2 linked regions of the Alligator mississippiensis genome follow. The protein of the gene in region 1 interacts with the protein of each later gene in a biochemical or structural test. Links are inferred from orthologs where the notes say so. Each region holds a gene or a part of one and is shown on either strand. Other genes may lie near its edges.

Evidence for each region.
Region 2: the proteins of NXF1 (region 1) and RBM15 form a complex in vitro, tested with the Homo sapiens proteins (2 studies listed by BioGRID). The link is inferred for Alligator mississippiensis from reciprocal best matches to the Homo sapiens genes NXF1 and RBM15.

The regions. Positions count from the first base shown.
Region 1 is NC_081838.1:3,279,025-3,282,766, reverse strand, and holds the start of NXF1 (nuclear RNA export factor 1), read right to left. Parts: upstream 2,406-3,742; 5' UTR 2,396-2,405; coding exon 2,275-2,395; intron 1,896-2,274; coding exon 1,688-1,895; intron 1,453-1,687; coding exon 1,287-1,452; intron 1,148-1,286; coding exon 1,064-1,147; intron 676-1,063; coding exon 571-675; intron 422-570; coding exon 341-421; intron 213-340; coding exon 143-212; intron 49-142; coding exon 1-48.
Region 2 is NC_081837.1:34,891,703-34,895,444, forward strand, and holds the start of RBM15 (RNA-binding protein 15), read left to right. Parts: upstream 1-1,508; 5' UTR 1,509-1,596; coding exon 1,597-3,742. UniProt on the Homo sapiens protein: RNA-binding protein that acts as a key regulator of N6-methyladenosine (m6A) methylation of RNAs, thereby regulating different processes, such as hematopoietic cell homeostasis, alternative splicing of mRNAs and X chromosome inactivation mediated by Xist RNA.

The DNA.
Region 1 (3,742 bases):
TGCAGCTGCGCCGGTTCAGCACCATGTCGACGTTCTGCGCCACCAGGTCTAAGGCGAAAGGGAGACAAAGTCTGAGCCCCTGTCCAGCCGCCACCCCCGCCCTTCCCCTCCCTCCCTCCCCCCACCCTATCTGGACACGCACCAGAGTCTGTGCGGAGGTCCTTGAGGTCCAGGGCCTGCTGGAGACGGTCATACCTCTTGCTCATGCAAAGCTGAAATAGCAGAAAATGCAGATCAGAGGGTGGGGGCTGGGGGGGGTACAGTTCCCCTTCTCTACCTGGCACTGATTAATGGCTGGAAGTCGCCCCCAAACGCCAGGCACTGAGCCCTAGGGCCTTACCTTCAGATGTTCAATCTCCTCTGGCTTCAACTCGTTCTGGACAGACTGGGGCGGGGCCGACGAGTTGATGATTATCACCACCTGGAGCGTGGGCAAAGCAGGTCGACGGGGGTCTCAGCAGCACCCCAAGGCTGCTCCAGCTGGGAGAGAGACCCCCAGAGCAGCACAGGAGCCTCCCTCCCCCCTCGGAAGGCAATGATGAGGCCCAGCTGAGGGACCTGACCCCACACCTTGTAGTTCTCTCTGTCCGTGATCTTGCGGGACACCAGTTTGAGAGCGCTGGCCGCAGTGGCGTCTTCTACGTAGAACTGAGCCCGGTTGTGGTCGTAATGGAACTGAAAAGGGGAGAGAAACAAGGCGGTCAGGGAGACCTGAGCGCCGCCCTCCCAAGAACTGGGCAAGGAGAATCCCCCAGGCCCTTCCTCCCCGCAGCAAGGGCAGTGTCTAGGAAATTCAAAGCCTGGAAAAAAACCCCCCAACTGTCTGGCCTGAGACAGTGACCCGGCAGGCACCCGCCCGAGAGCTGGGAGAGAAGTCAGTCATCCCGGCTCCTAAACGCGCTGCTCTGAGCCCCTGCCACCACCAGGTAGAGAGCGCAGGCCCCCCCCGGTCCCACTCTGCTCTGACCCCTCCCGAGACCCCGCTCTCCCCCTGATGCTGGGAGACAGTCCAAGCATCCGGCTCCCAAGCCTCTCTGCCTGTGGGCTCCGAGCTGGCACTCACCTCCACGGGGTTGAAAGGGACGGTGCACACATTCTGGATAGCGGTCAGCAGCCACGACCGGTCGTACTTCCTCCCGTACGGGATCTGCCAAGGAAAGTCGCCCGCTGGCGAGCGTCAGAGCCGGCAGAGGGACCTGGGCTGCCCCGCAACCGACTGGGAGCTCCCGGCCAGGGCGTGCCCAGGCTGGCGGGGAGACCTTGCCCCCGCCCCCACGATCGCTCACCGTGATCTTGAACCAGTTCTTCCGGGTGCCGTCGCGCCCGGCATTGCCGCCGCGATCTGGGACGGGCTGGTCGCGCCTCGCTGTGACATGGATGTTGCTGGCGCCGCCCCGGCCCCTATCATGCCAATCGTCACCTCGCCGGTTTGGCCGCGACCCGTAAGGGGTGCTGGGGACCAAGGGACGAGGGGTCCTCAGCAGGCGAGTGCAGGCCCCTCGTGGGATCTGCTGAGCCTGGGGACAGTTGCATCCGCCCCGGATGCCTCCCAGCACTGCAGCTCCCCCCCCCCCCCCCCGTCTCCCTCCCCCTACGAGGGCAGCTTCCACGTCGCGTTCGTCGCCCTCCTGCCACCCCCAGCGCGGACGAGGCAACGGGAGCCAGAGCGGGGAAGCCCCGTGCTCACTATCTGCAGCGGGGCCCGTCGTGGACGTCGCTCATGGGCACGTCGCCGTCTTCCTCGTCCAGGCGGCCGCGGGGGCTGGGGCCGGGGCCGTGGCCGGCGCCGCCCCGGTTGCGCGGCCGGTGGTTCGGGTCGCTGTACATCTTGCCGCGGAAGGGGCCTCGGCCTTTCCTCCGCCGGCCTGGCCCGCCGCCCACGCGGTCGTCGTGCTCTGCACGGGGGAGACGGGGTGGGGGGGAGGCGGGGGGGGGGTCAGCCCAGGCATGTTCTCCCAGGCCCTCCCCTGAGCCCCGCCCCCACCCCCATAAACTTCACGTCCAGGAGCTCCACAAGCCCCGCCTCCTAACCCCCAAACTCCGCCCCAGACACCCAATCCCTAAACTCCGCCCCCAGGAGCCCCCTAAGTCCTGTCTCGACCCGACCCCTAAGTCAAAGACCCGCCCACTCCCTAAGCCACGCCCACAGCCCCACTTCCTCTGGCCCCAACTCGCCAGCCCCGCCCCCGGACCCCCACTCCCCAGCCCCACTTCCTGTAGCCCCGCCCCTAGACCCCAACCCCTAAGCCCCACCCCCGGCGGGCGCCCCCTCACCGTTGTAGCTGCCCTTCCCGTCCTCCGCCATCGCGGGGCCTCCTCGCGCCGCCGCCGGGCCCGGTCCCGGGGAGCCGGGCAACCGACCCGCCGCTCCTCGCCCAGCGTCGCCACAGCGCATGCGCAAAGGGCTCAGGCGGACCCCCACGGCGCATGCGCGCCCAGACGGGGCTCACCGCGCAAGCGCAACGAGAGCGCGTAGGCTGACCCCACCAGCGGGAGACGCCGCGCATGCGCAGCCGGGCCGGAAGGCGGTGTGCCACCCTTCGCGGCGCCGCGCATGTTCCAAGCGGCTTCGCCTCCCCCGCGCATGCTCATTCCCGCTGGTAGCGCCGCCTCTGGGCGGGAGGAGGGACTGCACCCACCTCTCTCAGGGTGGCAGGTTCGAGTCCCTCCGCGGGATGAACCCGGCCCCAGGGCCAAGCGAATGGGGCGGTCCCCTTTCGTGCAGAGACCAGCCCCTTCTTGTTGTGCATCCACCCTGGGTCCAGCCCCTCCTCAGGGGAGACAGGACAGGCTCTCACCCCATGGGCACCAAGAGCTGCCCCCACCCAGCACCACTGCTCTCCCCCACCCCAGGCCTGCCTCTGCCTGCCCCTCTGACACCAGCCCCCATGGCCTTGGCCCAGCTCTAGGGGGAGGGTTCAGACCAATCTGGCCCCAGGAAACCCTCCCCCAAGGGCCACAGTCCCACCCCCAGCCCAGCCTGGAGCAGAGAAGGGCAGGCGGCAGGCTGGGGTTACAGTAAAGCTTTAATGTATGTCCCATTGGGCGCAGCTCCCCGGCTCCGGCCTCACCGTGCCAGGAAGGGGGTGTGCCCAGAAGGGAGCAGGGCACAATCCCTCACTGCCGCCCCCTGCCCCCAGTGGGCTGCTCTCATCCAGCCAGAAAGGGGCAGCACCCCCCAAGGAATGTGGATGCCCAAAAGGGCAGGGGGCCGGGGGGAGAGGGCAGCCACCATGACCAGGCCAGAGGGTAGGGGCCGTGGCGTAGGCTGGGGGGATGGAGAGAGGAATTCAGTTCAAACTTGAGAGGCCACGCAGTGTTAGGGAACACAAAGGGCCCTTTAGGCCAACCTGGGGGTGGGGGGTCATCATCACAGTACAGCCCGTTCCTGGAACTGGGGGCCCCCACTGGGCTCTGCCAACCCCCTGGGGCAGCTTGCGTTTCACAGGGGCCACACCAGAGAGACCCAAGGGGGTTGTGTGGGGCAGCTATGAGGACCACAGGCCCAGCCCCTGCCAGAGAGCAGGGATAAGGGATAAACTTAAATACAGAAAAAATAAAAATGGGGTGGAGGGTATACTGGGCCATGTCCATGAACCGAGAGCCCCTGGGGGGGGACAAAGGCACAGCAGGGAGGGTAAACGGGGGCAGTGAGTCCTGGCTGCACGGAGAGGGCGAGACCCCACTCCTCACCAGCAGAAAAAGTGGGGGGAGGGGTGGTAGGCTCTGGCAAGAGTCCGAG
Region 2 (3,742 bases), on another chromosome or scaffold:
CTGGCAAGGGAGGGTTCCCATCTCTTGGTGCGGCAGGTTTTGTTCATTGGTTTATGAAATGTCAGGTTGAACATAGAGCCGTTGGGTTGGAAGAGGTTTCAGAGGTTGTCTAGTCTAGGGCAGGGGGCAAGTGGTGCGGGCAGCCTCTGTGTGGGGCACGTGGGAGACTGGACTGGGACAGGCGGCACACTGGTGGAAAGCAGAAAGCAGAGCAGAAGTTGGAGCAGTAGAAGAGATGGCAGGGAGCAGACAGCAGAGCAGAGGCTGGAGCAGAAGAGATGGCAGGGAGCAGACAGCAGAGCAGAGGCTGGAGCTGTAGAAGAGATGGCAGGGAGCAGACAGCAGAGCAGAGGCTGGAGCTGTAGAAGAGAGGGCAGGGAGCAGACAGCAGAGCAGAGGCTGGAGCTGTAGAAGAGATGGCAGGGAGCAGACAGCAGAGCAGAGGCTGGAGCTGTAGAAGAGAGGGCAGGGAGCAGACAGCAGAGCAGAGGCTGGAGCTGTAGAAGAGAGGGCAGGGAGCAGACAGCAGAGCAGAGGCTGGAGCTGTAGAAGAGAGGGCAGGGAGCAGACAGCAGAGTGGAATGCATGAGGACCCCCAGGGCAGAGAGCAAAAAGCAGAGCCAGTGTCTTGGGCAGTGAAGTAGGGAAAGGAGCAGAAAGTCGAGTGGCAAATCAGCAGGGAGGGGAATACGGCGCAGGGAGCGGAAAGCAGAGCTGAAGACCAGAGGCAGGATACCGTGATGGGAACAGAAAGCGGAGCAGCAAGCGAGAGCCCCCTACTTTGGAGCTGGCGTCCAAAAAGCACCGCCCCGCATCCTCCCTAAGCCAATTACTTAAACTCTCGGCGTGACTGACACCCTCCCCCGCCCATCAGAAGGCTCCTCACCTCCATCCAATCAGATCGATAAGGAGATTTTCATCAACCAATGAGGGCGAAGGGCCAGGGTCCGGCGGCATCCCGCGCTTATCCCGGAGGGACGTGCGGCTCAGCCTATCACATTGGTAGGGCGGGACGGGAGAGCGGTAGGCCAATCACAACGAGAGGTAAGGTCACGGCCTGTCCCGCTGAACTGCTCCGACGGACACAAGCCCCATCCAGTCACAGAGAAGGGGCAAAGCGACTTTTGACCAATGAGAGGCAGGGGCGGGTTCCCGGCGCCCAGAGCAGGCCGGTTCGAAATGACGCGGATCCTCACCAATCAGAGACGCGAGGCCCCGCCGCTCTCCGCTCAATGAGAGCCGGAGGAGCGGGGTAGGACGGTCTCACCCCGAAACCGTTACGATTGACAGGCGGCTCGCCCAATCAGAACCCCGCAGCGGCCAATCAGAGCCTCCAAAGGGGGGACCTTCCCTCACAAGCCACCCGAGCACGAGACAGCGAAGAGAGGCAGCGCAGCCACCCAATCAACGAGCGGCCAGGGTGGGGCCTCCCGGACTGACAAGACCAGCGCCCAACGGCAGCAGCGGGGGAGGATAGAGTGGCCCAATGGCGGACAGGGGGGCGGGGACCATTTCCGCGGCGGGTTCCAAGATGGCGGCGCGTGCGTGAGCGCGGGTCCGTCCGTCAGGGAAGCCGTCCCGGAGGTGCTCGGCGCCATGAAGGGCAAGGAGCGCTCCCCGGCCAAGGCCAAGCGGTCCCGGGGCGGCGGCGGCGAGGACTCGGCGCCCTCCTCCTCGTCGGCGCGGGCCGAGCGCAGCAGCAAGAAGCCGAGCGGCTCCGGCGCGGGCGGCAGCAACGGCGGCGGCAAGGCGGCGGGCGGCTCGGGCGAGAGCGGCCGGCGGGGCCTGCACCCGGACAAGGCGGGCCGCGCCGGCAGCCGCGAGTACGAGGCGGGGGCGGCGCCCGGCGGCGGCGGCAGTAGCCGCCACGGCTACAGCGGCAAGAACGCCGAGTCGTCGCGGGGCAGCGGCGGCGGGAGCCGGGGCGGCGGTGGCGGCGGCGGGGGGGAGTCCCGGGCGGCGCCGCCCCCCTCGTCCTCCTCGTCCGAGTCGGGGGGCGGCGGCGGCGGCGAGTACAAGACGCTGAAGATCAGCGAGCTGGGCTCGGCGCTGAGCGACGAGGCGGTGGAGGACGGGCTCTTCCACGAGTTCAAGCGCTTCGGCGACGTGAGCGTCAAGATCAGCCGCCTCCCGCCCGGCACCGGCGCCGCCGACGAGCGCGTGGCCTTCGTCAACTTCCGCCGGCCCGAGGACGCCCGCGCCGCCAAGCACGCCCGCGGCCGCCTCGTGCTCTACAACCGCCCGCTCAAGATCGAGGCCGTGTACGTCGGCGGCGGGAGTGGCCGGCGCCGCGGCAGCCGCTCCCCCGCGCTGCTGGACAAGGAGTCCCCCTACGTGGCCGCGGTGGCGGGTGTGGCGGCTGCGGCTGCCGCTGTGCGGCACCCCGCGGCCGGCGCCACGCAGAGGGCCTTGTCGCCTGCTGGAGGGGGGGGCGGTTTGGGCTACAGAGACTACCGCCTGCAGCAGCTCGCCCTGGGCCGCCTGCCGCCGCCGCCCCCGCTGCCCCGCGAGCTGGAGCGGGAACGGGATTACGGGGCTTTCTATGACACCCGCGTGCGGCCAGCGTACGGGCTGGAGCGGGTGGCTGGCGTGGCGGCCGCCGGCGGCTTCCGAGGAGGAGGAGGGGGTGCCGGAGCGGCCGGCGAGGAGGAGATCAGCCCCGAGGACGACCAGCGAGCCAACCGCACGCTGTTCCTGGGCAACCTGGACATCACGGTGAGCGAGTCGGACCTGCGGCGCGCCTTCGACCGGTTTGGAGTCATCACGGAGGTGGACATCAAGAGGCCGGGCCGCGGCCAGACCAGCACCTACGGCTTCCTTAAGTTTGAGAACCTGGACATGGCTCACAGGGCCAAGCTCGCCATGTCGGGCAAAGTTCTTCTGCGCAACCCCATCAAAATCGGGTATGGCAAAGCCACCCCCACCACCCGGCTCTGGGTGGGGGGCCTGGGGCCCTGGGTGCCACTGGCTGCCTTGGCCAGGGAATTTGACCGTTTTGGTACCATCCGCACTATTGATTATCGGAAAGGTGATTCGTGGGCCTACATCCAGTATGAGAGCCTGGATGCGGCACAGGCTGCCTGCACCCACATGCGTGGTTTCCCTTTGGGTGGGCCCGACCGCCGCCTCCGAGTGGACTTTGCGGACACGGAGCATCGCTACCAGCAGCCATACCTGCAGCCGCTGCCCTTGCCCCCACCTGCCCACTATGAGCTAGTGGCAGAGGCAGCTGCATTTGGGGCTCATCGGGGAGCCCCACCTGACCCACTTCGGGGTGCCCGGGATAGGACACCACCGTTGCTGTACAGAGACCGGGACAGAGACCTTTATCCTGAGGCGGAGTGGGTGCCTCCGCCACCCCCTGTACGGGACAGGAGTAATCGAGCAGCTGCCTATGACCCTCTGGAAAGTCTGGAGCGTCGGCGGGATGGTTGGTCCCTGGAGAGAGACCGAGGGGAGAGGGAGTTGGGTAGCAGTAGCAGGGACCAACCCAGGAAACGGAGACTGGCTGAGGATGGAGGCCGGCACTTGGACCGCTCTCCAGACAGCGAGCGCTCGTCTTCGTCCCGTAAGCGACATTGCCTGGCTGCAGCCTCTCCCCCAGACCGCAGCCCTGATCCTGGTGTGACCCGGGAGCGTTACCTTAGTGATGCAGAGCGTTCCTCCCGTTTGCTCCTGCTGGAGCGGCCGTCACCAATTCGGGAGTCACGCAGGGGCAGCCTGGAGCGTGGCCAGAGTGAGA